Linked DNA regions of Oreochromis niloticus. The protein of the gene in region 2 interacts with the protein of the main gene of each other region in a biochemical or structural test. Links are inferred from orthologs where the notes say so. Each region holds a gene or a part of one and is shown on either strand. Other genes may lie near its edges.

Evidence for each region.
Region 1: the proteins of cacna1ha (region 2) and usp5 form a complex in vitro, tested with the Homo sapiens proteins (2 studies listed by BioGRID, with this or other methods). The link is inferred for Oreochromis niloticus from reciprocal best matches to the Homo sapiens genes CACNA1H and USP5.

What each region holds. Positions count from the first base shown.
Region 1 is NC_031976.2:23,488,367-23,504,870, reverse strand, and holds the start of usp5 (ubiquitin carboxyl-terminal hydrolase 5), read right to left. Parts: upstream 8,320-16,504; 5' UTR 8,289-8,319; coding exon 8,181-8,288; intron 7,621-8,180; coding exon 7,492-7,620; intron 7,392-7,491; coding exon 7,325-7,391; intron 7,218-7,324; coding exon 7,090-7,217; intron 5,883-7,089; coding exon 5,737-5,882; intron 5,429-5,736; coding exon 5,244-5,428; intron 5,129-5,243; coding exon 5,034-5,128; intron 2,742-5,033; coding exon 2,548-2,741; intron 2,330-2,547; coding exon 2,258-2,329; intron 1,449-2,257; coding exon 1,361-1,448; intron 1,201-1,360; coding exon 1,075-1,200; intron 791-1,074; coding exon 637-790; intron 497-636; coding exon 334-496; intron 242-333; coding exon 153-241; intron 1-152. Other genes in the region: p3h3 (prolyl 3-hydroxylase 3), read left to right, coding at 9,022-9,316, 10,609-10,793, 11,022-11,180, 12,453-12,645, 12,728-12,859, 12,964-13,106, 13,321-13,410, 13,502-13,554 and 5 more. UniProt on the Homo sapiens protein: Deubiquitinating enzyme that participates in a wide range of cellular processes by specifically cleaving isopeptide bonds between ubiquitin and substrate proteins or ubiquitin itself.
Region 2 is NC_031969.2:13,107,886-13,123,786, forward strand, and holds the start of cacna1ha (voltage-dependent T-type calcium channel subunit alpha-1H), read right to left. Parts: upstream 6,908-15,901; 5' UTR 6,388-6,907; intron 5,187-6,387; 5' UTR 5,163-5,186; coding exon 4,687-5,162; intron 1-4,686.

The DNA.
Region 1 (16,504 bases), on a different chromosome or scaffold from region 2:
CCTCAGTTCGGCAAAAAAAAAAAAAAGTAAATAGTAAAAAGGGTTCATAGTAAACCCCTCTGACGTGCATGTTTGTACACAGAAATTTCTTTTTTTTTTTTTTTTTTTTTTAATGTTTTCAAAACAAAAATGTAACCATATCTTTTGCTCACCCAGTTTTTTGGGCACCCAGTCAAGACCAAAGGTGAACTTCTTAATCTGGATAACCAGGTGGTCGGGGAAAGAGGCGAACCGGGTCGTTCTGATAAACGAGAGAAAGGCTGTCATTACTAGAGATCTTTTAAAATCTGTTCCAGTTCACTACTTCCATTGTGAGGGTGTCTCTCTTCATACTTGGTAGCAGTAGTTTTTCCTTGAACAGCCGAGCTCCAGAAGTCCGTGAGGATCTCTGGTTCGCTGAGAGCCGCCATGCACGCTGTGAAGGGGATTTGTGCACGCACTGTCGGAGCTGACGAGTCCCCCTCTTCACGGCGGCGCTCAGCCTCCTGAAGCTCTTCTGTTATTTAAAATAAATAATAACAATAATAATAATAATAATGATAACGGGTTTCTGTTTAATAAAATGCTCAAGTCTTCAAGTCTAAATACTTGGAAAGATCAAAATGTTAATGTTGCAGAGATTGTCCTCATCCTCACCTGTGTTGGTAGCCTGGTCCATGGGCACGGGCAGCTGAACGATGTAATCCACCCGCTGTGTGTATTTGGCTTTCTGTGACTGCTGACACACAATCCGCTCCTCCACCAGAAACCTGAAGGCTTCAGACGGGTTGGACCCAGAGCGGCAGTTTCTCTGTAGGAAGAAGAAAATGGATATTTAAAACAAAATAAGAAGGAAAAAATTAAAAGTAAAAGACAGTGGGTGGCCCTTTAGCTCAGTGCTTTGAGCGGGCGACCACATGCCATACGGCTGAGAGTGGCCGGCCCAGGTTCGAGTCTGACCCGTGGCCCTTTGCCACCCATCTTCCCCCTTCTTTCTGCCCCCACTTTCCTGTCCTCTCTTCCTTTCCAATAAAGTTGAAAAAGGCAAAAAAAACAAACAAAAAAATAAAAAATACAGTGAGAGTTATACTTTACCTCCACCATGTTTATGAAGTGCAATAAAAACTCCTGAGCATCCTGTTGTCGATTGGTGGAGAACTCCGGGTGGCCCCGCCCAACAAGTGCTTTGAACATTTGCGGTGCTATTCCGATTTGGTCTCCCTGAAAGCAAAGCCGGAGCAGAAGGATTTCTCAGTTGTGGGAGCCATCATTAGTTGTACTATAGTCTCACTCACTTCTGAGCGAAAATCCCAGCATAAGGGACAGATATTTTTCCAAACCTAGATTTCTGGATCCAGTGTGACTGATTCTGTCTGCTTACCCTGGGTTCAGCTGCACCATTTTCCTCTCCTGGGTCTGGTGCTGGTTTGGAATAGTCTCCTGACAGCAGACCATAACCGAGCTTGGCTCTGTAATAAACAAACAAGCTGACAAGCTGCACATCCAACAGGATCCCACAGCCTCATGCAGGTGGTGGATTTAAATATAGACCAAGATGTATTTTTTACATTTTTATTTCAAATAACAAGCTGGAAAATCTAATCATGGAGCTGATATTATTATCTGTGTTGAAAGGTTGCTGCGCAGCTACTGAAAAGCAGAGATTGTTTAGAATAAAGTAGATATGAGTTTAATGAAAACAAGAAAACAATAAAATTAGATAGCAAGTAGACTTAATCTTATTATATCAAACTGTTGATAAAGGGTCAAGTTACATGAGCTGCGTCGACCTTCTGTTTTCACAATAATGGATTTTCTTTAAAAGCAGGCTCTTTAGTTGATTTCCTGCTGTGCTACTGAAACAACAGCAAACAGGTGTCGATGTAAGTCTGTCTAAAAATAGCACCTTTCAATAGAGAAAGGCAGTATTTACACATTAAAAGACAATTATCACACTTGAAAATGCAGCTGCCAGGAAAGCGCACAACTGGGTTCGTTGCTGACAGCTGGCACACTGTAAATGTGCCTGTGTATATTTATGCAGATGGCTTATTTGATTTTACAGTGTGTGACACCAATATCAGGAAGCCATATGTGTGTATGTAAATACATGTGCATGAAAACTAAGGTAGCACGAAAACACGTCTAACATTTTAAAAAGAGCCGCTTTCACTCTCCTGCAGTACAAATGAGGGGTGTTTTTGGACATTTAATAATTATACAAAAGCTTGTAGTTTAAAATTTAAAGGAATTTAAAGGAAATTTAAAGGAAACTCACACTTGGGTTTTGAAGTCCTGGGTTGGGTCGCTCGGTGCTTCATCAATTATCTTGTCGATATTAGACACGTACCTGTGAGGTATGGACAGAAAAGCTGGAAGGAAATTCTTTGGATTCATCTTAAATGTTAAAGCAAAGTATCAGACAAATTTTCACCTTTTAGGTGAATATTGACTAAAAAGCAACATTTTTAATTTCAGTTTGCCATAAGAAATAACATGAGACACACAGCTGGATGGGGACTGTAAAAAAAAAAAAAAAAAAAAAAAAAAAAAAAGGAGGTTACTGACTTGCTCTGGAAGTCTGGGATGGTGAAGAGCACTTGCATGACAGAATTGAGGTAGCAGCTGTTTCCCAGGTTCTTCATGCCAGTCAGGCCGGGGCCAAACAGGGGGCGCAGGGTGGTCCCCGACTCCTGGATCACCTCCCACTCTCCCACACGCTGATTCACAGCAATCTCCAGCTCTGTCATTGTCCTCTCAGTCTGAAAGCAGAAAAGCAAATGCAGTAAGTATGGTGGCTGCAATCACACTACGTGGACTGTGTGACTGTATCTGGCTTCAGGACTTTTCAGGCAGAGCTCAGTTAATCTGAGTGGTTTAGAAAGTGGGGACTGCACTGTTTGTGAATGAAACATTGTGTAATCTCGGTTTACACCATGTGGAGGAACACTTCTGTGGCCTAAATACTGAACTGTTAGCTGAGGAATACATTCATATTACTTGCCAAGGCCAGCAGCACCTGCTGTTGCTGTATGAATTCAGTTTGAATCACTACACCGACTGCTCCATCAGTTAACACAGAGGCCATCCAAATGACTATGAATTTCATTTCATGTCATTATTTATTTAAAAGGGACAATGCAATTTAACATAGTTCTAATGTGAAGCAAGAAACTGATGTGCTGCACAGAGTTTAGAGCTCTTGCTAATTTTCAGTCAAATTCAAAATTCAAAATAAATTTTACAAGACTCTATGCAGTCCAATTAAAAACTGAGCATACCCTTTCTGCTTCCATAGTAATTAAGAGGGTTTAATTGATTAACTGATTATCAGTAACAGTAAAAGATTATCAGTGACCACTATAAAATCAGAGGATTTGACCATTTGTAGGCAATCACCCCAAAGTCAGGCCACATAATGCTCAGAGACCCCAAAAAACCCAAATGCTACATCTCAGACTGTACAAGCCTCAGTGTGTTAAACATTACATTTAATTACAGCATGATTAGAAAATGTATGGTTTGTTTTTAAAGGTTTCCAGGAGAAAAAAAAAAAATCTTGCTTAAAAAACACAGCACCATGGCTTAGGTTTGCAAAGTTGCATCTGAACTAGTCACAAGAGTTCTGAGACAATTTCCTTTGGATAGATCAGACCAAAGAGGACATGTTTGACTGTAATACACAGCACCACATACTGAGAAAACCAAACAGCATAAACATCTATCAAGCTCGGTAAAGGGTTGATGATTTGTATTTGTTTAGCAGCCATACAACCTGGGCCCCTCACAATCATCAAGTCAACCATGACCTTCTCTGTTACCAAAGTATTCTAGAGTCAAATATGAGGCAATCTGACCAACAAGTCAAGTTTGGCTGAAACTGAGTATTGCAACAGACCAGTGACACAGTTTAATATTGTTTGGTTTATGATGCAGAACTTTAACCTAAGATGATTTCCTCATAAGAAAGACAATTGTGTAATCCAAACTTGTATTTAGATACTTATTCATTGCTCCCCAAAATCTAATTTTGATTGTTCGCATGTTTATTTTTTTCCTCATTGAGCCAGTCTTATTCCACTTTAAGCATGTTATAGCACATCTTTAATATTTGTGCTGCCATAACTTCTCAACTTAAGATAAACAAAGCATCTTATCTTACAAGTAAAGGGAAGATATGTTGCGTAAGAAAGCAAAATTCTTTGCAAGAGCCTTAATACAAAACATTAAAGAAAAGTTTTTATATTAAGAAAACTGATAAACGAGATTAGGCAGTATGACTCATTAATGACACCAGGCAGGCAGACAAACTATAATATACCACTAACTGCTGTATTCTTTCTTCTGCTTTACTATCCCACAATTCTTTCACCCCCTCGGCTGTGCAACATCATTAGGTGTGTACAGAAAAACATCAGCAAGAAAAGAAATAACATTAGAGTACACAGTGAGAGCTACAGACATCTTAGACAAGACAGCTGTGTAGACTGCACTCTGCATAAGAGGGGAAGCAGGTGGCCAAGAAATAAAAGACAGCAGGGATTCAAAGAGGAAACAGGTGTTGCAGAAAATGAAACAAGGGGAAGTAGGTCAATATGATAAGCAGTAATAATTATATTAAAGAACTATTATATTAAGAACAACATTATATGTAGTTAACAAAAAACAAAAGCAATAATAAATGAAAACCAGATCAGAAGGGGGTGAGATATTCAATAAGAGAAGTATCTTTTTTAAGTGTTTTCAGCTCAGTAGCACTGCAACGTTTTTAGACCTTAATTTTTGCAACACCATAGAATCAATGGCTATCTAACAGACAAAAGTAGGCACCACCATTATTTGGATGTCTGCAAAGGGGGAAAAAAGTCCCATATCCCTGTCTAAATTTACAACACTCCAATCATAAAGCAGCAGACTGATCAATACTTCTATGTACAAGACCTTGATCTAATGCATAACATTAAAAACCAGGAAGAAATCTGACAGCTCTCAACTTGTATTGGTCGATAAGTGATTAAATCCAAAATAAAATCAGCAAGAAAAACAAAACTTACTTTCTCCATGGTCATCATGTCAATGCCAAAGTGAGCCAGGTGCTCTGGTAACTTTGAATCGAGCACCATGTCGTCCTCATCATAGGAATACACATCTGGAAAAACAAAACAGCACAGGGACTGAACTTCAGACAAATGCAAAATCTCTGTAATTTATTTTTAAAGTTAATTAACACAAACCAACTATTATCAAATCGTTTTTTCGCTTACCAGCGCCATCAGGAGTGATGGTACCGAGTTTGACAGCAAGTGGGTAACCGGTCTCCTGGTAGTGGAGAAGAGCATGGTTGTTGCCTCCAGAGCCATCAAAGTACCTGCGGCCACACAGAACTTTGCCATCCGTCAGGTTCATCCAAATGTTCTCCTGGAGGTCACACACCTCGCACCGCCAGCCACTACGACAGACAGAAGAGAAAGCCTCCAATAAACACACTTTCTGATATAAAGATAACAGCCCTTTATAGAGCTTAAATGGCAACATTCTCTCTTTTACAATAGATTACTGAAAAGGGAACCGGATCAATATTGAATCAGTGGATTCTAAATGTAGAAAGGCAGTATCTTGACTAAAATAGATACACCTGTGGCAACTCTATAAGATTTATTGTACATATAGACAGCCAGCACATCTTTTATCAAATTTGAAGAGAATATGTGAGCTGCTGCATGGCAAAATTATTAAATAATAGAGCTTTGACCTCACCTGGGAGGGATCTTGACTCCATTGTCTAGCTGTTTAAGGTCAGCGGCATGCTTCGACTCCTGTCTCACCTCTCCATCCCACTGCTGAACTTGTAAGGTATGAGACACTGAGTCAGCTGCCATGATACCCGCCATAGACAGGGACACCTAGGTGGACAGCAGGGGGACACATTTCAAGAAAATCTCATTTGAAGTCCACTTGCTCTTAAGCACAGAGATTTTTCTTTAAAGAAAAAGAAAACCCCAAACAGACTGGAAGGAGGCAAAAGGTTAGATGATGATAAAGAGATGATATAGTAGCACTATGCATCCTCTCCACACAAACAAACAGGCAAGTAACATGAAACAACACCAGAAATTATTCCACCATGGTAACAAATACAGCTCAAAACAATAAACCAAACATTACTCAAAGAATACACATCTTACCACCTACAATCTAACTAAGTGATTTGATAAAACTTCAAATACTTGATAACTGACAATAGAAAAAGCATGAACTCTGGAAAATGTTGGCAGTCAGGTCTGGACATTGTCTGAAGTGAGGCAGGCAACTTGAGATAATCCACTCCGGTCGTGTTCTCACTACTGGAAATACTCTTGTGAGGTTTAGGCGAGATAGCTGCCTAGGCAAAGCATGTGGAGGGCAGGACACATGCCCACTGTCACTGTGAATTCTCTGGACAATTATTTGCACTATTTACACATAGGAGCATCCAGAGATCTCACACTTTGCACTAGGGAGCTGACGTGTTCAAAAACTGTTTATCATTTGATCTGACTGTGTCACAGTTGAGTGCTCATATCCAACTCAACTGGGAAACAAGAGAAAATGCCTTGTTTATCAACCATAAATCATAATTTACGCCTATATGCATGCCACCCAAGTTCTTGTATTAAAGGACTGTTGAAAAAGTTCACTTGTTTGCTAAGATAATGTAAGGCTGTGTGATTAAGGTAAAAATCATAATAATGATTATTTTGGTCAAAATCTTGGTGCAGTATTATTTAACAAAATTATAGCAAGACTTTTAAAAGATTATGGATTTATTCAACTTTCAAAAACAAATCAGTGGATTTCCTTTCATTTTAACTATAATTTGATGGGAAAAAAAATACATGTGAATGTAAATAACAAAGAAAAGGGATGGGTTTCCTGTTTCATGCCACACTGTGAAACAGGATGTGGCATTAAAATTATTTTGTATCAGTTATCTTGTTTGATAATCGAGCATATAGTTATGAGATTTCCAACATTTGAAATGAATAAAGCACATCTTATCTTACCATCTACTGCCATACTGACAACCTGGGAAAAACCTGAACAGACTAGAAAACAAACATGACCTCTCACCCGCTCTCTTACGACATCAGGCATGGTGGTCAGGTCCTCGGATGTCACCTCCTGCCTGTCTGGCAAAATCACCACTTTTACATCCTCCTCATATTGCTCCTGCTCTACATCAAACCCTCCTTCAATACCTGAAAAGAACAAAAACAACAAGGGTGGAAGCATATGTCCCTCTTGGAAAAAGTGATACCCATAGAGTTAGCCTTTTTTCTAAATACATGTATGCTTATGCACTCACCTATAGCCAGTCTGGTGGGCTTTTTCTTAGGTGGGTGTCCAGAGCCAGAGTTACCATCATCTTCCTTCTGTTGGCATTGAGAGTAGGTGAGAGGACATGTAAAAGGATGGTGCTGATAGAGATAAATGTAATTTAGATCACCGTATTTTAACCATAAAGTGTCCCACCTTGGCCTTACGAGTCCGGGTGATGTGCAAATAAGCCCTCTGACCAGAACGAGCATGGTGCCTGTCAACATACTGACTCCCCAAACCCAGGAAACTGTTCATGCACACATACAGGCCTCCTTCACTCTCCTGTAAAGGAAGCACAGACAGTGTTTAATGCTTATTGTCCTCTCTGTATATCTCGCACCACTTGCAGTAGACTTGCAAATTAAAGTTGGATGCGATCTATAAGTCTTAAGCATGTCACAGCATCAGTTGCTACAATGAAAGTAACTAGCACTCCTGTCAATTTGCTAGCCTTTGCTGTTAAACAATGCTCGTTTATTTTAAAGTCCACAGAAAAATAGTGTCTCTTAAGTGTGACACACTCTGAGCAAAGGTAAATTTACATCATCAATAGTCCTGCAACAGTTGTGACTGACTTAGTTTGACAGCTTACTCAGTTAAACCCACAGAGCTAGCTAACAAGCTATAACCGCTAAGTTTCCATTACATTGCATTATTAGCTTAGCTTGAGGCTAACCTGCTAGTTATGTGAAATGGGGAAAACGTAGAAAAACAGACCATTAAAGTGAGACAGCACTGGCAAAACGTTACGTTAGTGTGAATCACGAAAGAGGAAGGGAATACAACACAGCAACACTGTTTATCAACTGAAGTTTTGATTTACAAAAGGAAAAATGGCTCACCGGTGAGGAAAATGACAAGGCGCATTCGTCTTTGTGGACGCGGTCCCCGGGTTTCGGGACCCGAATTGTGGACAAAACCGACATCAAAAGCTCACCAACGTCCGCCATGACGAAGCTCGCTAGTTCCACCTTGCAGCGGGACACCTGCTCTGAGTTTGGACACCCAGCCTCTTGATACCCTGGCTCGGAAGAGTGTCCGTTGTCTGGCCCGTGTTGTGCTGCCTGTGTTTGCCTGAATGAATCATGAGACGCTGCCTTGTGTTGAGGGAAGGCCGTAAAGAAGTCCCGCACACAGAGTGGCTGCTGCTCATTACCGTAATCCACAGGATATAGGTACGCGCTCTCATTTTTATAATGCAAAAACGACTATTTTTTACTTGGTATGTCCACTGCCGAGTCGCCTCATGAAAATGTGAATGTGCGTTAATGCTCTATTAATTATAAGAAATGATTAATTTCTTCAAAATATAACCAACAACTATTAGTTTCACTTCAAACTACCAAAGCTGTTTTACAGTTATATTTACGGTAACGTCGGTTGCGTACTTCGGGTTCCTCTCGGATGAGATACAAATACTGTAGCTTCAAACATAACAAGTTTAATCAAGTCAAAACTCATCAATACCTCAAACCCAATTTGACAAACTCAAGCAAACCCAACGGGAGTCGTTAATAAACGCGCAGCGTTGTATTACATGTATTAAATTCATAAAAAGTACATAAAAATACAAAAAAAGCCCCCACTTTCTTAACAGGGAGGAAACTTTGTGGGTAGTTCTCCCCTTGGAGTCCCTCCTCTGCTTCCACCTTCGCCTCCTCTGCTGGGATTGCCTGTCGGACCATGGCGCTTCAATCGGGACGTTTGACTGTATACGTGGCGTTTAATTGTGCTATTCTCGCACTGTTTAGTTTTACCTCAACGGCTTGGGCAAGAGGCAGCCCCAATGTTATGTCACTTCTCCAGCCGTATGATTTTCTGTATTACAGCGGGGTCCGCGCATATTTTAGTGGGGAGTGGGGCAAAGCTGCAGAGCTGCTGGAGAAATCCATCGCGACCAGGGAATCACTGTTCAGGGTCCGCAGGCAGTGTCATGATGACTGTATGGCAGCAGGGACAGAGGCTCTGAAGAAACTGGGTAAGCTGGGCGCTAATATAAATTATATCAGATATTCAATTACTGGTAATATGATCATCTGTCTGAACAATGCGCCTGAATGGTGCAGTAGAAGCTCATTAAATTAAACTGCATTAATAAATTAGCTATTTAACACTGGTGTAGACCAGTTTTGTCCCTGCTGACTTATATTGGCATATCAGCAAAAATTGGCCAATAAAGATCATCTGTGACACAGTTTTGGGCGAACTAAATGTTTCAAAACTGTGTAATGAAGAGTTAAAGCTAATGGAACAAAGAAATACAGACTAAGTGTCGGTGTCTGAATCAGCTGTCAGCCAGTCTTTTTATTTTATACCCTGATATTAATGTCATCAGTGCATCATGCAACATATTAGAACAGATTTTGTGAAATTCAGTTATTCTTTTAGCTTCTCACAGCTGACTTAATTACACTTGCTAGATCACAAACACACCCTCAGGGATGAAGGGCTATGTCAGGAGGGGCATCTGCTGCGAGAAATAAGGGAGCAGACATTAGTACCTTCTTCCATACAACCTGCTGAATGTTTTCAAACCTGCCAACTTTAAGGAAAAGCCAGAGGAACGACTGACCTACTCCATGAATACGTAGAGTATTCATGGATTCATGCAGACGAAATAGTGATGTGTATGCTCTGAAGAGAAGAGGAGTAGCGGTAGTAAAGGTAGATGAGTTTAAATACCTGGGATATCCAAAGCGACAAACAGTACACAAGGGAGAGGTGAAGAAGGGAATGCAGGCAGGATGGAGTGGGTGGAGACGAGTTAGAGAGGCATGGTTGAGATGGTTTGGACATACGCACAGGTGAGATAGTAGCTATATATATTGGCGGCAGCAGCAAGGTGAGAATAAAAGAGGAAGACCACAGCAGAGGTTCATAGATGTGGTGAAGGACGGCATGCAGATGGTGGATAATAGGGAAAGAGTGAGATGGAGGCAGGTGATTCATTGTGGTCAGCCCTAAAGGGAACGGCCAAAAGAAGAAGATTGGACCTATCATGTAGCCAGACAACAGCTTTGAGTCTGTGTTAATTACTAGTTGGAAACTAGATTTTATGATTTTATGAAGTTACTGGCGGCTTCACCCTTACTTCTCGGTGTCTAAATGCGTAGCTAAAAAACAATGTGACCTCAAGAGCTCAAAGAATGTGTAAGATAGGCTTTTTTGTGTTTTGTTGTAGATTGTTGGCAGTTCTAAAAATCAAAATGTATAAAATATATGCCACAGGCTGGGACCTTATCGTCTTTTCAATGGTGTGTGTGTTGTTAGACTCTGAACAGGGGACTATGTGGGACCTCTGGGCCCTGGACTGGGTGCATCAAAAAGCTGAGTGTTTGAGGTTCTGCATTGGACGCTCTGTCACACATGTTGGACAGCTTCCTGTTTCTGCTGATATAGAGTACGAGTTTGGCACTCGCAACCCTTATAACTTTCTGCAAGTCACCTACTACAAGGTAAGTCGTTCTTTACACAGCCATAAGGAGCTGCTGCATAATAAAGCTCCTAAATTGTCATTACTTCTACCAGTACTGTGTTCCAAATTGTCATTTAAAGGGAAGCACCTGTCAGTATGGTCTGCAGCCATAATTATAGTTCAGCTCACAGCTGCATAAATAATCACAGCAACACCCTTAGTGGTCTGTAACAAACTTCATTCAGTCTCTCATTTTCCTCCACATCAGCTAGAAAAGTTGCAGAGGGCGGCATCGGCAGCTCATACCTACTTTGTGGCCAACCCCTCTCACCTGGAGATGAGAAACAACATCGAGAAGTACAGACGGATGGACGGCGTGACCGACGAAGATTTCCAGGACAGAGAGAGTCACAATGAGAAACACTGGGTGAGGAGGGAAGAGTAATGGGGTATACAGTGTAAGTGGGAAGAAACTGGGTTGCACTGCTTAGAAAAATCAGTCAAATCTGAATAAATTCACTGTCTGACCCATTCAGAATGAGCTGCTCCTTCAGCATTTTGGAGCCCTCATACCTTCATAAGCACAGAGGAGAGACACATGAAATTTGTAGGTCTTAAAAAGACATTTAAAAAAACTGAAGGCTGTCTTACATCCACTCCAAATGTTGCAATTTAAAGCAAAAATCTTGTGATTACCTTAAAAAAATTATCTTAATTCAACAGAAATTCTAAAAAGCTGCTTCATTGTCATATAATCTGTAGGTGAAAATAAAGAACACTTATCTAAAGAGGCTTAATGGTTAGGTTAACAATGTTTGTCAGCACTAGTCAAACATATTGCCTTACCTTCGACCTTCTTTCACAGCCGCTAGTGTTGTTATTGTCCAATTATAAGCAGATAGCACAAAAGACCAAACTACTTATCTTTTTGAAGCACTTTAGTCCTCTGATATGAACTAATAGTTCTCAGTTTTAGTTCCTAATAAGCATAAAAGCTTTGATTCACTAGTTAAGCAGTGGAAGTGCGAGTTTTTGCACTTGCTAACTAGTTAATGATAGCCGACATGCAGACAGGTTTAAAGGCTTTGAACAAACATATCAGACATTTCTTTAACTGACTGACCCTAACTAAGCCATAACTAGTCCTCTAATAGTCCTCACTCTGATTTAAGTTCACAACTCAACAGCTGATGAAGGGCGTTCAAACAGAATGATTTTAGAGACGTCACTGTGGAGAGTCAGACGTGGCCTGAGGGACTGAATTTCTCTGTCTCACTCTCACCTTCACTTGTCTGTTTGCATGCACATGTCTCAAAAGTAAAAATGTACTTCATCATCAAACGCTAGCCTTTAGCTTTGGGTAACACTTAACAATAAGAATTGTAATAATCAGTGTGTAAACCACCTATAATTCAATAGCATCTCATCGGTATTGGTTAGTGTGTGTTTTATAAACGGTTAATCTTTTTCTCCTCCAGTAAATGTTTGTTAATGCTGCTGTAAGGATTCCTTAGAGGAGCACTGAGAATACTTTTGCACAGCAATTTTAAAATAGTTATATTTAAAAGTGTTATATTTCTTAAGCACTATGATACAAAACAATATACAACTCATTAGTTGTTGTTTTTTTAATTAGCAAGCAAATGGCGACTGTGTTATTTCCCTGTGTTAATCTCTGTCTCTGTATCACTGACTTCAGGTCCTGTATGATGCTGCACTGCAGCTCGAGGCTAACTCTGAATGGAAGCAAGCAGCAGAGAAATGGAAAGCTTGTGTGAATGAAACCCTGCAGCAGACAGAGGAGTGCAGGGTGCAGTGTGAAGTCGCTTCCCAACGGCTGCCTGAGGACAGGGGAGTTGACAGCGTTGACGGCGTGTTTGAAAAGGCAGCAGGTAAGAAGCAGGCAGAAGTTTTGAGCCAGACAGAAAGAGACCAGAAAGAGCCAGTTGTCACCAGTTTTTGTTTTCTGTCCAGCCCTCTCCCTCTCGCTGCTCTCATGCCGACAGTCATGCGTGACTCAAGTGGCCACACGACCTGGAAGGATTTCTGCTCAGGAGGACTTCCTGCCAACACAGCTTGAGCATCTGCACATCGCACAGTTTAAAGGTCTGATTTTTTAGGTCAATGTGAAGGTCACACACGTGATTTTATTATTCATCTTAAGACTGATGCACTACTTTGCCTTACTTTGCATCCTCAATTCCCGGCAGCCGGTGACATAAGCGGGGCGTTGCAGACACTTCGCTCTCTCCTGCTGTTTTACCCCTCTGACAAGGACTCCTTAGACAACCTGCAGCTCTACCATGAGACACTAGGGGGAGACACAGAGTCACAGAGCGCACAGCCTGCTCAGGTACCATTCAAACCACTCAAGGTTCATTATATTAAAATTACCACAGTGGTGTCAAAACGTAAAAAAGTTATAAATCCAATAAAGTAATCCAAGTAATTTAAATGAGAAATACATTTTTTCACTTCTCTTGTTCAGTTATTTCAAGCATACTTAGGTTTCAAATTCATCTTTAAAGTCATATTTAAGCACAGGTTTGTGTGTTTTTGTCACACAGGAGATTGTCAGATACATCAGCCACTCCTTGCAGGAGAAGAAGCTGTTGTATTTTGGTATGGAGAACCTCGACTTCACTTTCACAGATCCAGTAAGTACTGATGCCAAATGTGCAGTGCAGTGACAAGAGAGCCAGCTATGAAGCATTTCTTTGCTGAGGTTATTCATCACCCTCTGTGCAGGATCTTTGGACTCCAGAAGATGTTGTACCTGAATCATTGAGGGAGATCTGGAGGTAAAAAAAGAAAGAAAATGAAAAAGAAATCAAAGGTGAATCTGTCACTAGTGGAAACTAATGAAACAGAAAACTCCATCTGTATCTTTTGTGTTTTAATGTTAGAGCTGAAAAAGAGAAAATGAATGAGAAAATGAAAGTGGGCGAGCAGCAAGAGGAAGTGGATGACAGTGGGTTTTTTGCAGGTAAGAAACAGTATGTTGGGGAGTCAGTATGTTGCAGGTAATTTCCTTATGCTATGTGTTTTCAGCCTTTTCTACCTAGGGCGTCATGGGAGGAGCTCCTCGTCACCTTAATTGCACTTCAGGTAGCTTAAAACAAGGAAACACAGGTGTATCCATTACAGATATGCCTGTTTATGTGGCATGTAACCATTAACATCCATCTATCCATTAACAAGTGAAATAATGAATAACATCCACACGTACCTATAGGCTTTGTAGGGTTGTCAGTAAGGATCAACAGATTATAACAGCTCACACATCTTATGTATGTGAAAATCTAACACATTAGAGAATAGAGGATCATTTATTTGCAGTGTGTCACAGTTTCTCGGCATCTCTGTTAAAGATGACTTTACCATGACACACTAGAAGACTATTATTAAATAATGACTAAAATTAGCAGTAATCTACATATCCTATGAAATACGTGTCAATGAATCATTCTACTCTTTATATTACACTGCTTAGACTTTTCTAAAATATAAAACAGGGAAGGAGTCACTTATAGTCAAGTCAAGATTAGCCTGTCTGCTGCTATGACCATCAGGGAAAGTCACCAAAAAGTCACAAGCTTTGTGGGTTTTGTTGAATATTATGGAAACTATTACAAAGAAATTGAAGCGGCAGTTTATACCGAGAAATAGAGTTTTGTCTTATTTGCTTGAATAATTTATCAATTTCACACAGAGGAAAACGAGGCGTGAAGTGACACAGTTTCTATGGATCTACTGAAACCTGAAGACTAAACAGACCAGCGCCTGAAATAAAAGTAAAATCAAAGAGAATATATTCAGTTTGTTGGGATCTGGTCGCCCCATTAAATACAGTCATTATAGAAACAAATATTTCCCATTTGGCAGCTTCGGCGACTTCATATCAGAAAAAACACAGTCGTACCACCATCTTCTGCTTAAAATAAGAAGTGACCCATTTACTGTCTTATCCTTTCTTATTTGTCCTCTCTGCAGGTGGTCCGGTGCCTCAGGTGGGCGTGACGATCACAATGGACGACGAGATGCTGAACGGCACCAATCGAGTCGTCCTGGATGGAGTCATGACGGAGAAGGAGTGTGACAGAATACTGCAGTTAGCATCAGTAAGTTCAATCAGTTTTTTTTAACGCACGCATGTGAAAACCCCTAACATACACATTTACGTGGTCTCCATAGGTGGCAGGATCTCTTGGAGATGGCTATCGAGGACGGCGGTCTCCACACACTCCTCATGAGACGTTTGAAGGTCTGACTGTCCTCAGGGCGGTGAAGGTGGGTGGAAATGACATAACTGAAGCAGGTCTACGAGATGCTCTCAGCAGCATCTCGTGACCCTCACTGCTGCTTCTTCCTCAGTTGGCTCAGGAAGGCCTGGTGAACCAATCAGATGCCAAGCTGTTACATGAGCTGGGTGATAGAGTGCGAACCGTGCTGCACTCCTACTTCAGGAGCCCCTCAGGACTTTTCATCACTTTTACACACCTGGTCTGTCGCACTGCTGTCACAGGTAAAACCAACAGTATTCAATACTGGGATAAATGGAACAGGTCCTTTAATGTGTAACTAAATCATCCACTCTATTCTTACTTTATTACTTAAAGTTAAATGTGTTATTTTGTTCTTGTTCTGTTTTTTCTTTTTAAATCAGACGATCAGAAGGGCAGGCTCGACCTCTCTCACCCCGTCCACGTTGACAACTGTCTCCTCGAGCCGGAAACCAAGCAGTGTTGGAAGGAACCACCAGCTTTCACACACAGAGACCTCAGGTACTGAAAAAAACATCTCTTCGTGGATTAATAATAAATTTGGGCTCACACTTTCTCCACAAATAATTTTAGAAGATGTTCTCAAGCCATTTTATTCTAGCAAATATCCACGAACAGAATGTTTTAATATTCCTTTACTGGTAAAATGTCATTTAGATATCATCAGCATATAGCAGTGAGAGAATGGTACATGTCATCGTTGCCAAAAGAAAGCTGTCACAAACCGAACAAAGATCTCTGTGATCCAGAGACTCGTGTCTGCTTAGAATACAGGTTTCTGAGAAACATCTTTAGCTGCTTGAGGAATGTGACATTTTCAAACCATTATATAGAAGATGTGAACATCGACGTTGTTTCTCCATTTCACAGCCCTAAGCTACATTTGGGAGTGTTACAATGGACAGCTAAAACACTTGTATCTGCAACTAATTTTGCTGTTTAAACAATGATGTATCCCAAGATACTGGTGCTCAAAAAACTGATTACAGAAAAACATCTTGCTGTTTCTAAAGAGGACAGGTGGGAACATTTCTTAGATGTTGCTGATTTTATATGGAATTACCTAAAAAGCATTAGTTTACACTGCAAGTCTTAAACAGTGTTTCAGGGGAACAATTGTGGCAAATATCAAAACAACCAGAGCACCTGTCGTCACTGGTAAATAGTTTTGTTCTGTTGTTATGGGGAAATAATGACACCTTAGAGCTACATGAACTGATGGAGGTGGAGGGAGAGCAGAGAAAACACTGCTCTACAACACAATTGCTCCATAAATAAATGCAACTGAAAACTGAACGTGACACTTAAAGTTGCTGGTTTTAGTTTTTATTATATGTGAAGAGGTCAGTCTAAGGAAAAAAACGTTAATAATTGAAAACTGAAATGGCTTAGTTTCAGTGTTTCAATGTTTCTGCTTTGACCAAAATGTTCATCCTCTTTGGGTGTAATCGTGCCAATTCTATCGCCA
Region 2 (15,901 bases):
GCTACATACTTTTTGTCCGTATTTTAGGGCTATTGTACGGTGGCTCTAAAAGGTCAAATGCACTGCAACTAAATAAAACACCAGCAAATAGAAAAAAAGCTGCAAAATCACACAAAACATAGAGGAAGCTGAATGAAACACAACGGATGTGTTTGGGGAGACATTAACATGAAGGGAAATCTGCGCAAGTGACAAGCTAACAGCAAATGGCTAGCAAACATGTACCTGCAGTATTATGAATCGTGCACTTAAAGCACACATTATCTGCATCTTTTTCTTCCTCACAACACCGATTAATCCACAGCTTCTTTTAAGCAGGTCTCAGTGCAATACGTCACATGTTGTAGTTTCTGTCACTCTCACAGCTGTTCCATCACGGTATTGTCTCCCCAAAAACACTTCCATTTTATTTTATTCAACTTCTGTTGTGTTTTCTGCTCATGTTGCCTTTAGTTGCAGTGTTTTTGATCTCTCAGTGGATGCACGCTGTACTCAGAGATCACCCAAACCAATATATTTTAGGGTGACTTTCATCAGTTTAAAAAGAAATCAATAAAAAATGCCAATTTTGTCTTTAAAGTCTATTTGCATGCTAGGCTAATCAAGAGCTAATCAATTGCTCTATTATGTGTGCATTTTCCTGGACATGACCAGGCTAGTTGATCACCAGTGAACAGACTTGATAAACATCGTGAATGACAAATGCTGCTGTGCTGAAATGCTATTCTGGTAACTGTGAGCAACTGTTGACCTGTTTTTACAGTCACAGGTGATTAATGACCGTCTCAGTACAGATTCAATATTTTACTGTTGGACTACACATGTTGGAATCGGGATGTGATATAAAACACTTTTATTCAGAGGTGCGTTGTTTGAAATTTATGGATGTAGCTGTTTCTTTATTTATTTTTTCCCCTCCTCTACCGGCTCTCGTTTTTCCCAATGTGTTCATTCCTTTTTGTTGCTGAGTGGCAGAGAATTTATGCTCCGAAAAATATTTACATAACCTACTGTGGACCACCAACTCTGTGCTGCTAACAGTGGGTTCTGCGCGCACGCCCACACACTCGCAGACACACAGGAATACAACACAGAGAGATGTCCGGTGAGATCAGTTCTTATGACATAACCCGTATCCAGTTTTAAACGAGCAGTCATAATGCAAGGCCGAGCATGTGACAGTGCGCGCCTCATTCATTAGCCTCGCTGTCTTGGTACAAATAGCCCAGCCTGTCAACTTCAACCAACATATCTTAAAAAATGAATAAATAAGTCTGCACTCAGATAGAAATCAGACATGTGATCAGCGCACAAGCAGTGAAGCGCACATGTGCTAACCATAGGAGCATCTGCTTCATAGTAGTGGTCTGCTTCAGCAGCTACTGCAGTATTAGCCCTGCTACAGTGCAGTGAACAAAACAGAGGTAATGTAACGCAACACTAGCATCTGTCGGACAGCAGGTTACCAAATCATAAGTCCTACGTGTCGGCGTGTTTACCTGGACATGCTTTAATCCTTTCGGACCTTCTTCGTTCCTCATCTGCTTGCTCCAGTTGGCTCTGAATTTGTCTTAGTGAACAATTTTCATGCATTTATTTGGATTGTGAAACCAGGACAACTGAAAAATACAAATAACATCTACGAATTCAAATCCAAAACATTAGAAGAAAAAGACCCGACCGGACTTCCTATCACTTTTTGCGGTCCATTTTTAAAAAAGAAGAAGCCAACACATGCCTGGCACGTTAAAGCCCTGTAAATTATTTAACAACAAATTTTAGATGCAGCTTTCTCCCGCTGCAGGACAGTCCCATTTTAATATCTCTATTAGCCATTACCATGTTCTGTAAGAGAACATAACTTGCCTTACTTTTTCACGCCTCGATTCTCGAGCGCCTGCAGCGAGCAGAACCGATATAAGAATGGGATTTTAATCCCCATGAGAAATTCCCTGTGAGTTCTGTCCTATCCACAAAAATGAAATGAGGAAGCTGGTAGAGATGCTTTTTGGTGCTTAGAGACATGTGATCAATTAGGTGATGGCTCACTGGCACTTTAGCCCATGAGGGAATACTAGGTTTTCTTCTCAAGGACAATTAAACAGAAGTCTTCTTATCACTCCAGCTGACACGAGATCAACAAGGGACCAGAGTGTGGAGTCATGGGCAACCAGTTTTTCACTTAAAGGTCAGATCATGAAGGAGAAAGAGTTTCTGATAATATCATCTAGGTTGTAAGCAAGGGTTCAGTTTTAAAAAATATATGGCAGAAATGCTGCAGAAAGGCAGTTTCCCACAGTGGCTTACATCGGTAACAGATAGGGATGACATCAAAACAGACAGAGTGCTTTTCAATACCAAAATTCTAAAAAACATCACTTTTTTCAGTACTGTAGTTACTGTATGTGCCAAGTAGGGCTGTCATAATAAATAAATAAATAAATGCCTGATTGCAATCAGATTAGATACTCATCTGCAGCAGTATTGATACCATATTTGCCTCCTTTCACTGACAAACAGCTTCACGCACAGCACAGAGTCTACCAGCAACTAGACAGAAACAATACAGCAAGCCTTACCAACGCTACTTGATCACCATGAAATATATGGTACCAAGTCACCAAAAGCAAAGGAAATAAACAGAGGTGTAGCTGAGTCTATTTACATGAACCATTATTGCTCTAATCTTTGGTTGTTTTTTGTTTAAAAATGTTGTCTTTTTTTCTGTCTCTGTGGTACCAAAACTTGTATCGATTATTGCGTGTTTTCCCAGTATCAGTAAGTTTGAAATTCTACTATGGTGAAAACCCTTGTAGCATTGTCAGACCAATGAATTTGTATTTGTGCATATGTAAGATTAGAAATGGCAGTACAGAAATGTCAATAAAGGTTTGAGTTGATTTTTTTTAAATCAATCAAAAAATGTTGCTCTTCTGAGGTTTTGCTCACATTGAGGGCTAAAGGTCCTGCAATGGTTTTGACCTTTCTATTGTAGCGTTGTTTCTAGCAGTGGACAGACAAAATCACCAAAGCAACCCAACACAAAACATGTGCGTCAAATCTTTTAGCAAACCACAATTAGGCACAAGTCCACAAGTCATGACAGAAGACACGACCTGCAACTTCCTTTCGTACCAGAGGAGTCGGTACGTTTCTAATAGAAACAGCGGTCCACCACAGCAATCCTCAGCCCTTCTCGAGAGGAGGGTCGTGAGGAAGTGTTGGCTGACGCACACTGACCTATTCAGACAGATCATCAACGTGGGTTTGACCCACGTCACAGTGTCAGTCTGAATAGCGCATGAATCATCCACTCCAATCTCTAGAGCTGATAATCTTTAATGATGAAGGCAAATTAATGAATCTTTACATGCAGAAAAGAAACAAAACTGAGTGTGTGTGTGCATATGTCGCTGTTTAAAAGTTTGTTTTTCGATTTTTTTGGCCTCTAAACGCACAGAAGTCTCAGAGAGGAAATGTGTGGGCATAAGGTTGCCCCTTTATCTAGCTGTTTATCTACCTTTCTACAGCATGTTTTTCTTCTCCGACTTCAAACTCTGCGTCAGATCATCCTCCTTAGATTCACTACACCTTCAAGCTTCCACTATCATAGGTCTACATGAACAGAAGCTTGTCAGAGTGGGGGTTTTTTAATCACTTGAAGACAAAGAGAATCTCAGAAAGAATAAATGTAGTTTACTTTTATAATCGTGCTTGTATTTTTATACTCTTGGTACCTTCTATATTAGATTCCAGGTACTCAGGAAGCACTTAGGAAAATAAATGTGAGTCAGGTCCTAATTTTGTTTTTACACCACCCACTTAACCACATCACGAATGAAAAAAAACCCCATATTGCAGCGGTTCATCTTCAGCTTCTTTTCATAGCGCTTATATCTGGATGCACATTATGTTCTTATGCTCCAGTGTGTTAAAACATCCCACAGATGAAAATGATCCCGGCAGGATGTTCAGCTGAGGGGGTAATAATAGAAAGTAAAGCAGACATGAGCACTTCTCCTAGGAAGTAATTTCACTTGGACTACTTGGCACTTTGAAATTAAATTAAAATATCTGATTATTAGAATAAAATGGCTGCCAGAACTGTTAGTAGAGGGAATACAGCTTGAACTGACTGATGAGCTTCAAAAGAATATATATAGCCAGGAACTAATTTGTGCTTGATTCTGAGCCTAAAGCAGCTCAGGTAAGTGTTACAGCGCTTTCAGTCTATAGAGGCAAACAGACCGAGTGCTGGGCGTACTTGGGGCTGTCTCAATTATGCGTGTTAGCAGGTCCTATAACAGAAAAGCTAATTTACCCTAAAAATAACCAACCCACCAGATTTGGAGGCTGTAATACCAACCTTACAGACACAGAGGGAAGTGCAAGTTGTTGCACAAAAGATTTAGAATGTAAAACAACAAATCTCACATCAGCAAAGGACGAAGACTCACAACAGGTAACATCTACTTCTTGCCCAATACCAAGACACACCCTTCATGTCTGCACGTGTCACCAGTGTGAGTCTGTCGCTGATGCTTGTGTATTTATACAAAAGCAGCAAGTTTCTACTGACAACTCAAACATGTATGCAGGCGTGCCAGCACTCACACACAAACATTGCTGAGGACATATTTCGTCTTACCGATCGCCGGGGTCAGGATCCAGCACGTTAAAGGATATGGGTTACAGACCATGCGGAGACACCAGTTGCGAGGCCTCGTTGTTTGCTTTAAGCAGAAGAAGGCCACGGGGGCCAGGGCCGGATACGGCTGCTGTTCCTCATCCTCGGAGACGCAGTCTGGATCACGGATGGGAGCCGTGATGCGAACTCCCAGTGTTGGTCCAACTTCCACTTCCAGCTCCGGTTCCTGTTCTTCATCCCCCTGAACTTCAGGACTCCATTCATTTCCTCCATCTCCTTGAACGCTACTGCTGCTGCTCCTCCTCCTCCTCCTCCTCCTGCTGCTCCTTCTCGTCCTCTCCACCTCCTCCTCTTCCTCCTCATCATCCGGGCGTCTTCCTCCTGGGTCATCTTCATGACCTTGGGCGTAATTCCTGTAGGATGTCGGTACAGCAAGCCTTACCTCCTCCCGCACCTCCTCCAGCTCCTGGCACTCTGCGTACTGAAAGCGCGCTCTCCCTTCGCCATCAGTCATGATAGAGCATCAGGCAGAGCCACTCTGAAGGGAGGTCAGAGGAGAGAAGGAGGTTAGAGGGAGGCGGAAAGTGGGGAGGGAGCCCACGGTGAGACAAAGGAGGCAGACATGAAGGTAGAGGAAAGATGCAGATTAACGGTGACAGAAAAAGAAGCGAGTGAAAGATCAACTTGGCAAAGAGCAACTGGAGACAAATCGCACAAGGAGCCAAATAAACACTTAGGCCATTTCCTCCTCCAATCCCTGAGCAGCAGGAGCTTCCAATCAATCTAAAACACGGATTTCCAATACAGTCCTTTTACAAATCTGCCAGGGTTTTTTTCATGGGCTTTTATTTTTTTTCAAAATAGCCTTTCATCTCAGTTTTGTTCTTTTCTCCTTAAAATGAACAAAAAACAAACAATAAATGCTTTCATCAGACAAAACTGGGAGTCTCTGTCAGAACATCAAGCCTGAATTTCATAGTATCCATAGTAATAACACAGTGAAGGCACCATGGAGCACTACAGACTGACAACTGCCTGCTGTTGCAGCAGTTAGTAGAAATGCAAAAAATGTGTTTACTGAAATTAGGTAACAATTAAGTGCGAGTACTATAAGAGTATTATGATAGTAGAGGGATGTTTTTTTCCCACTCTGTCTCCCCCTCTCTCTCTCATTCTCTCTCTTCCTGTTGCTATGTGATTGAACAGATGGACTGTTCTGTCTCTGGTCTGCTGAAGGTTTTTAGCCCACACCACGCAATGGTGGGCAGGGAATGCGCCAAAAAAGAGGAAAAAAAACAAACCACCACAGCAATAATGATTATTATTGTAATAAGTGGAATAACGTCGAGAACAAAAACATTAGTGATCATAATCCAGCTAACAGACTTTGCCCTTTTGGGGAAGCTTTTCTTTTTTCTTTCTTTTTTAACGGGCTTTGTTGTCCGCCGTTTGCTGTTATGTGAGAAGAGCGCATCTGACCCTTCAGGCAGTTGGAAGCTCTCCTCCTGGGGTTCTTTTGTAAACACCGAACAATATTAAATACACTTTGATATGAACAGTTGCTGTAAAAGTTCTTCCATTCGCGTTTTAAACGGTATTAATGGAAGTAGGAGCCGCCAGAGCGCGCATCATCTGTGCCTTTTTCCGTTTTTCGTCCCTAAAAAGTGGACTGTCTCCTGCACTCAGTGTGTATAAAAATAATCACATGCAAACAGAACAACTTTATCGTTTTAAACTACCTTATTGAGACGGAATCGGAAGTTCCCATAAGCATGATCCGTGACTTTCCGTCTTTCTAGCGCACCCAGCCTTTCTCAGCGACCCGGAGCTTCCCTTTCCTTCTTTCCTCTCTTCTCTCTCGTTTTTAAAAAAAAACAACAAAACAAAACAAAAAATTATCCTTCCTTGGCTTGCCAAAGATCAGAGGTAATCCGAGGGTCGTTGGAAATCGCTGGAAGTAATCAAATAAGTCACTTAAAGTCGTCTTGATTTGGCGCGTTCAGTTAAACGGGAACATCTATCCACATCCATGCATCCATCCATCCGCTCCTCTCTGAGGTGTTCGTTACGCAGCGTGGAGCGGAGATGCGCGCAGGAGGGTCGGGGCGTGTAGGTTTCTGCGCTGAAGCTCCGTGGATGGTCTGACACGGAATTTAAAAAAAACCTTGGCCCAGGACCCGGGAGCCGTGACACGTGACGTGATCCCCGGCTTTAGGAATACGGCGCACAGTAGGAGACTCACACCCGGGCGCGAGAAACGCGCAGAGAGCCAAGCTGGGCGTGCACGCACCACGGTGTTTAATGGATCACAAAGCAGACGGCATAACGAGAAAGAAATTAATACACAGTGTGTCGGTCCGTATTCTTTTTGGCAATAATCCCAACACAGAGGACTATACCGGCAAAAAGGAAATACTGGTGGTGGTGGTGGGAGGGGGGACTTATATCTCCTATATTGTTCTTTAGAGTAAAAAAAAAAGTAAAAAAAAAAAAATGCTGGAACCTGTTGGGAGTAAAAGGAAGCAAGTTTTGGTTTTTGACTTTATTGTGAAACATAGACAAAGACAAAGGAAGATAAGACAAAAAGTGAAAGAACATTTTAGATTTTCTCATAATCGGGCCCTCCAGGGTCATCGAAAACACTCCTGAGTATAAAATGTACTTAAAGAAAAACTGATATGACACATATTTGAAATTATATTTAATTTAATTCAGTTCAATTCAATTTTATTTATATAGCACCAAGTCACAACAACAGTTGCCTCAAGGCGCTTTATATTGTAAGGTAAAGACCCTATAATAACACAGAGAAAACAGAAAACCCCACTGTCACCCTGTGAGCAAGCGCTTTGGTGGGAAGGAAAAACTCCCTTTTAACAGGAAGAAACCTCCAGCAGAACCAGGCTCAGGGAGGGGCAGCCATCTGTTGGGAGGCTGGGGGTGAGGGGAGGAAGACAGGACAAAAAAACACACACAGTGGAAGAGAGCCAGAGATAAATTATAAGTAATGATTAAATGCAGAGGGGTGTAAAAACACATCAGTGGATCAGAGGAACTCCACAGCAGCCTAGGCCAAAATTAGTGAGGAGTGGAAATTTTATTTTACAACAGCCATCTTGGAATTTGCCATCTATCCATCGGTGAGAGCAGCATAACCTACAGAGTTTTCATATCACCAAGGTTCAAAGCGCTGCTATGCAGGGCATAAAGCTTGAATCTTACATCAGCCCATAGGCATATCATCCAACAGAGACAAAATTCACACAACACTCGCAAACAAAATGTTGTTTTTTTCTGTTTAATGCCACAATAAACATGTCCATAATTATAATTATATTTAATATTTTTGTTCAGCATGTTTATCACAGTTCATCCTGTATTCAATCAGGCAACCGGCGCCTCCACAATTTGATTTGACAATCAATTTAAACTCCTTTAAACTCCCATACTGCTTGAATGATCAATCACAATTACATTGACTATATTTAATTAAGAGCATCCAAGGCTGACGGAGTCAGAGAACTAGAGATGGAAGAGCAAAGTGAAAGAAACAGGATGTACAATGGATACTAGGAAAGTGCTTTACTGTTCATTTGACTCCTGGGCAGCCATACGCTCAGGGCCCTGAACAAAGCCTGCTGTCCATAAAACCTATCTTTGAGAATAACCGACACCACGATCGAGAGAGATTTAAAACTTCCTTTTTAAATCAAATCTTTCAAATCAAATCTTTCTGACTGAAGGAGAATTTGACCAATCGAAATCAGCAGCAGAGCGTCCTTCAGAAACACAAACGAAAATTCATCGATGCATTTGTGGTTTATAGAACTAACACAGATAAATAATATCACACCTTAACACTCACAACGGTGAATCTCTTTGACGATCTTGTTTGCAGAGACACAAAGGAAGTGGACATTAGCGTCCACTGTGAATGCTATAACCCAATTAAAAAGCCCCTATGATGCACTCACTCCTGTTGTAGCTACAGAAATCCAAAAGGCGCATTGTTGTACACGCCATTTCCAACAGGCAGAACTAAACCCACCTTACACAGGCAAGTCACATGATGCCATCTTTGTCAAATCATGTGTGGAAGAGCTACATTTATAAAAAATATAATAATGATAAATAAACCAAACACAGGAGCTGAAACAAAAGGTAGAGAGCTGGTAGGAAAACAAAGAAAGGGTTAACATCAAGTCTGCAGGGTGAGGTCTGATTTATGCTCTCAAGCTCTCTTTGTTGTGGTTCTTTTTTGTTAAAGCAGACAGTGTCTTTCAATACCTCCAGAAATGAGGGGATTTTGAGCTTCAAGCCCTCTGGTGATACGTGATAATAAGTGATAATGGCTGTTTAATGGACTGGTAACATGTGAAAAAGGTGGCAGCGAAAGACTAAGAGCTTTTTAAACTTTAAACTCTAAAACATTAGCAAATGCCTAACGCTTCAGCTCGGGTCAACTTGGGAATTGAGATTTAGCCATAATGCATTTATTTATGGACTTATGGATTTAGTTGAAGTTTGATATTCCAAATACTTCTTACTTAAAACAGCTCAGAAATTAATTCTAAAAGGTCTTTCATCATAAAATATAGCAGTGCAAGCATTCGAGTGGCAACATTATGTAAAATAGTTAGCATCTGTGCGCCGAGAGGAAGTAGTTTGGGGGATTGTTTTGTTTTGTGTGTCTGTGTATTACATAATGGCTAAGTACACTGGCAGGTCAACAATCTGACATAATCCTTTTAATCTTTGTGTGTATCTTTGTCTTTACTTAGCCTGATTATTCTGCAGTTTGGTTGTTCACTTTAGAAGTACACCAGTGGGTTTCACTGAGTTTTTAAACAATATCAATTTTCAGCTTTAGCTGCTTTTTGGGGCAAAAAACTTGAAGTCGAGCAGGACGATGCAGTAAATTCTATCAAATTTGACAGTCTTTACTCTAAAACAGACACTGATGCAGAACAAAGATGCACACAGCTTTTATAGTCTGTGTGCTGCAGTAAACATGGCGACTGGCTCGTCACGTTTCAAAATCCAAAAACGCAGCGCTGGGTGAATCAGACCAGATGTGACACTTTAAGCTTCCACACACCACAAATCTTTCTCCCCCTGCTTTAAAAATCTCTGAACTCAGTTTCTTGAATTCCTAGTTAGGGTGCCAAAAGCCTAAAAACTGGAGCCAGGAGAGGAAAAGTACTGGCCGTTTTTGCAGACGTCTTCAGCTGACAATGATCTTTGTGGTTTTGAAAACCTTTTGGCAAGACCTTTTATGATCGCACTGCAAGTAATACAGGTTTTTAAAAAATATATATATTGAACAGTTCTGCGTTAGAGCTACTTTATGCAGTGCAAAGATCACCTAGGAGCATCAGTTATGCTGGAAAATAATGTATAAATGCTGGGCTGGTGTACAGTATGGGAGCCAGCTGCCAAACCTTTTCATCGCTAAGCTGATCAAAGTTATAAATTGTCAAAAGGTTGATGTTCTCCTCTGTGGCTTGTGGTGTTTGAGCCATTACCCTGAAAGCCAATTAAGGAGTTTTTGAAGATGTGAAACTAAAGGGACAATAGGTTTTCTTAAATGTCACTTTTGGCTCTCCTCATCAATATTGTGAAAATGCTAATTACCCAGGACTTAATCAGCCACAAGCCCAACTGAATCACTCTTTAACATTATCTGCATGTGCAACAGGAGACGTGAGTGTGTGTGTGTGTGTCCATTCTCATTCTCAGCTGTGAGAAAAAGTGACTAGTATGCAGACAGCTCGAGCTCTTCAAGCCCATCCCCCTCCCAACACCTGTCTTTCCCTCCCACCTGTCCGTCTCCCTCCCCAGGCTTTTGCACATGCAAACTTGGAATTCTGTCTTCATTACTCTACGCTTGGCTCCTAAATGGCTCCTATGAGAGTTTTGCTAATGCGGGCTCCACTCTGACGCCCTGCTCAGCTGTGTGTACGAAGCCTGGATAACCTGTGTTTCCCTCTCTCGTCAACCAACTGATTTTTCTCTACCAACCCCCCTCCAGGAGTTTGTTCTTCCTCAAAGGAGAACCGTATCTGATAATATCAGCTTGTTTCTGTTTTCATTACACAACAAAATCAACTCTGAGTCGAAATACCTGCATGTACACAATACACGTGGTTACAATTCCGCAAAGGAGACAAATAATAGACTGTCCTACGTCTTTGGGGAGGAAAACATCTCTTCACACACTGCAATTCATTTGCCACTGCTCCAAATCAATAGCGCGTGCGCTTCCCAAAGATAATCAATACTCCTTTGTCAGGTTGCCATCTACAACTCCCCCCCACCGCCCATCCCATCTCATCTCATCATCCACCATCCTCCACTCCGACTCCCACACTTTCATCATCCGGCCTTTTCCTCCTGAATTTCTCATCTCGTGTCATTGCTTGATCCTGCTAAGTTGGACTTTTGAAGCGCTGCAGTGAGATTGAAGCCACTGCAAACACAAAGCAATGTTTTTTTCTCTCAAACAGCTTTCCAGTTTGAAAAAGTGAAAAAGTTAGACGTCCAATCGCGCTTTACATTTGGTGACGTTAAGTAAATAAGGTATTTAGTGGCAATATATCAAACTGTGTCGTTTAGAAAAGCACATATTCATGTTTGACTACTTTTCCACTGAAAGCAAGAGTGCATTACATTAGGCAACTGTGAAAAGGGTCAGAGTGAGCAGTGAAAGGGAAAATGGCAGGATTTTCAAAGAAAGACAAGTTTCCTATCAAAACATTTCAACGAAAAGCATCTCTAGGTTTTGCATGTGTTGACTGACATGTGATCTCTTGAGATGTGAAGGGCAAAAGCACAACAAAGACTTCAAAGACAAAAGTAATGAATAAAATCAACAAAGTCGAGGCACAGCTCTACATCGATGGCATTATCTCTGCCTCGGCTAGGCTAGTCCTCTGATCTAGCTTACTTTCACACGGCTGTGTTTGTCCATCCTTCCCTCATCATCGCTCTGCTGGGGTCTATTCATTAGACCTGCTGGCATATGTGAGGTCTGTTCCTCTGTTCCTGAGCAGCTATGAGGCACTTCTATACAGTGCGTGAGTGCGTATTGCACAAAGCAACTAAAATATACATATTCTAGATGTATTATTGAAATCGAACTGAGTGGAGTAAACAGAGGCATGAAAAAATGTAAAGCAGGGATGGTTGAAAGAGAAAAGGATGAGCTTTTTTAATACCCCATGTCTGTCTGCGTGCCAAAGTAATCATTCTAATTAGGGTATGGGAGAGGAAAAAATATCTGTGCATTCATAAATACACCAAGAAAAGAAAGGAAACAGTTACATAACTCACACGCATACACCCACCCACAGAGTCTGCAGCAGGATCACAGCCAGATTTAGAGGGAAATCTGTCCTTCACAGATGTTGACATGAGAACAATACCTGTGTCTATGTGTGTGTGTCTGTGTGTTTCAACAGTTAGGACTGTTCACTTGCTCATGGAGCTCATTCAGTGACATTAAAGTCTTCTAAGGTTGAACTCAGTGTTGAAATATTTACAGACAATCAGTATGTTTCACTCCAAAATGTTTCAGTCTCATGTTATCAATATTCAGTGTTTGACTTGAAGGATGCAGCTGATTTGCTAATAGTTTTGCTTCAGTGGGTAAAGAGCAACACCTGAAACCTGAAATTTGCAGATGGAGTTTCTAGTGCCTCCAACCTTGAACGAGGCCACATGGTCTGGACTTCTCTAAGTTGCTTGAGGACGTTTCACCTCTCATCCGAGAAGCTTCTTCAGTTCTAGGGTCAAATGGTGGAGAGTCCCAGATGAAGGTAAAAGGGGCCAACCTGCTACTAATGCAGTGTGCCTAAAAAAGTGGCCAGGGAGCGTATATCATAGAGATAACCAGTGGCTGGCTGGGGAATGAATCTTAGGGTTCATTCGCAAACAATACAGAGTCTGTAGACTTTGATTAGTGTGGTGTCTGAGGGGTTGATTAATGAATGATGCTCATTTAGTGAGTTTCCACTTGTCTTGAGACACAGACAGACAATGAATGGCTTGTATGGAGATCTCAATAAATAAAAGAAAGATGCAAGCATGACTCATTAATGTATTAGTTGTTCAGTTCACATATTTCTAAAATGTTTTTTACCCTCAACACATTTAAATTCATCCTTCTTATGCAATCCTGCCTCCTTGGTGTGTCTTCCTCTTCATTAAATTTGGATTCTGTGTCATAACACCTAAAACCAATCCTATCTGTGTTCAGGCATTTGAACAGAAAAAGACCTGATGAAACTGATGTGGAAATGCCTTCAAGAAGTGGATCTGATTCGTGATTGCTCTATGGCTGGAGTGTGATTACATTTGTCTGCACCCTGTCTGATTTTATCTATGCACACACACACACACACACACACACACACACACACACACACACACACACACACACACACACTCACACTCATACACACAGACAAGAGCTGACTACCTGCTAACCTCTTGAAAAATGTAACGCTCATTTTCGATACAAAGACCTGCAGGTTGCTGCCCACATATACACCCCTACTGGTAGACTTCAAACTGATCCAGAGAGAGACAGAGAGGCTCAGAGTGAAACAGGGGAGAGACTGAACAGAGAGGAATAGAGGTAATCAAAGAGAAAGAAAGATGGAGTGGGACACACACACACACACACACACACACACACACATGCGCGCACACAGGAAGAGTGAGAGAGAGCAGTGCACAAACGCTGACACTGAGAGAGTGAGAGACAATGATGTCTCATAGCCGCAGTAATGACAGTAACATCAGGATTATAATCTGCTGTTGTATAACAGCATCTGACAGCCTTCTGGGTGATATTATATTAACACATACATGAACAATCATACAAAGCAACAACCCTTCAAATAGTGACTGTTCCATCCACAGATGTTCCTTTGGACTCTTGTTAGAAAAGCTTTTTCTCTCATTGACTGTATAACAAAATATGTTTGGATTTTTTTTTGCCCTTATTCCAAAAAAGACATGATTTGCCCAAACCTGTTCACATGGCGAATGAAAGACATTTGTCCTCAAATGCAATCCAAGTCTACATGAAACCACATCTGCATTTTTTTCTGCAAAGTTTCTTTTGTTGATGCAACTCGACCCACACGAACTCTTGGCTATCTGGTTTATGTGCAACACAGAGCTGACCGTGACAGACAAGAGGCCTTGTGTCAAATGTGCAGTGTCTACAGAACATGTGTCTTAGTTATAAACCCTAGCTAAGACAGGCACAGTGCTGTGCAAAAAACAAAAGAGCCACCCATATGACTTTAGTCTTTGTTTCCAAGCAGCCAGACTTTGTTGGAAGTTATTAAAAGTGGTCTTGAGCGATAGTTCTCCAGGCTTTCTTAAGGTCTTTCAAAGTTTTTCTATGAATATTTCAATCATAAAAAATCCCTAACTCAGAGAATGAGTGAGGCTTGTGTCTATACATAACAGACAACTTAGCAAAGAACCAATTTTAAATTGTATCTTTCTCCACTTTGTTACTAGCAGCCTGTTAAAAAAACAAATCATTTCCTTAGTCAAAAAAATGACAGTCTGACAGGCATAAAATAGTATTTTTGCATCAACAACGTGCTATTAGTCAAAAAATCTGGCATATCTCAGCATTGTTTGCAGTGTGTTCTTAAGGAAACCAGACAAGTGGAGGACAGAAAAAGTGGCAGGCAGAAAAGTATCTGCCTGTAAGAAAAAATCCAGCGAACACCCAACAAAGGACCCGAGAGATGCATCTGGCCCCTCAGTTGATCTATCTACTGTTCACTGAAGCCTCATCAGCAGTGATCTCAGTGGAAGAGTGTCTGTCAAGAAGCCATTCTTAAGAGAGAAAAGGCTGATGTTTGCCAAATATACAAGAACTGGACTGAAAATCAGTGGCAACAGGTTGGATGGATGATGAATCCAAACCCAATTGGGAATCTTGCCCAAACTGATTGAATTATGAACACAGCCCAGAACCTCAACATTACCGGAGCAGTGTGGGATCATCTTGACAGAGAAAAGAAAAGTCAGCCAACATCCAAAGAAGAGCTTTGAATGTCCTTCAAGAAGCCTGGAGAACTATTCCCGAAGACTACTTAATGAAATGACAAGAAAGCTGCATCAAAGAGTTCAGACTGTGCTGAAGAATCAAGGTGGTCATACCAAATGTTGACTTTCAAACTCGTTAGATTAATACAGTCTCTGTTTTTGCCTTTTATACAACATTTCCGTTTGTTTGCTCACATTTCAATAAATCACTACAACTACTGCCTTAATAATATTTTCATATCCAGCTTCTAAAACAATGATAAATTTGGAATAGGACCTAATTGTGATCATCAGGATGATATTTGTATAACTTTAATTATTAAATTATTAAATTCTAAATATTGTCATATCCATACTAAAAGTCTTAGTTTACATTGTGTCCTACTTATAACGACACAATGTAAACTAACAATACTAATACTAATAAAACTAATAATAAAGTGGTTTTGTTGCACTATCAAACCTGCACTGTGTGTCTTTGTCATTGTACCTGTATATACACCTCCAGAACCATGGTTCCTTGTCCCCTAGTCCCCTGTGCTGCTTTCACAATGACTGGATGGCTAGTGGCTTTAAAATACCCTCTTTCATCTATTTTATGAGAATCTATTTTTAAAGACTGACTAACTGGAAACAACAGTGCCATCATGGTCGACATAGATGGTGATGAACCGCGTAAGGCAAGAAGGAAATCATTGGATAGTCTTCAAATCTAAGGACACTGTTAGATTTTCTCCAAGGTCACTTATAGTTGTGAAAGTTGAACAATAAGGAAACAGGACAGTCGCTGAATTATTTTACCAATACTATGCACAGCCAAAAGGGCTAAAAGAACAGTTTTGGAAGACAAATAAAGAAGTTAAGACTCGATTATTTCGAACATGTCATCAGAAAACAACGGTCATTAGAAAAGGACATTATGATTGGAAGAACAGAAGGAAAAAGGCGGCAATACGTTGGTTTAACACCATTATAACAACATCAGGAAGGACTTTTCCCAGACTTTCCATCACTAAACCTGAACCCTAACTGATTTTATGAGGCTTTTGCAGTTTCACTGTACCAGAACAAACACAACCAAACTTTAATTATATCATGTCACCGGACTGGCTCTAGATCAGTTAGATTAAGTCAGATATACTGACACACAAACCCAAGTCCATTTGACTCAGTGTC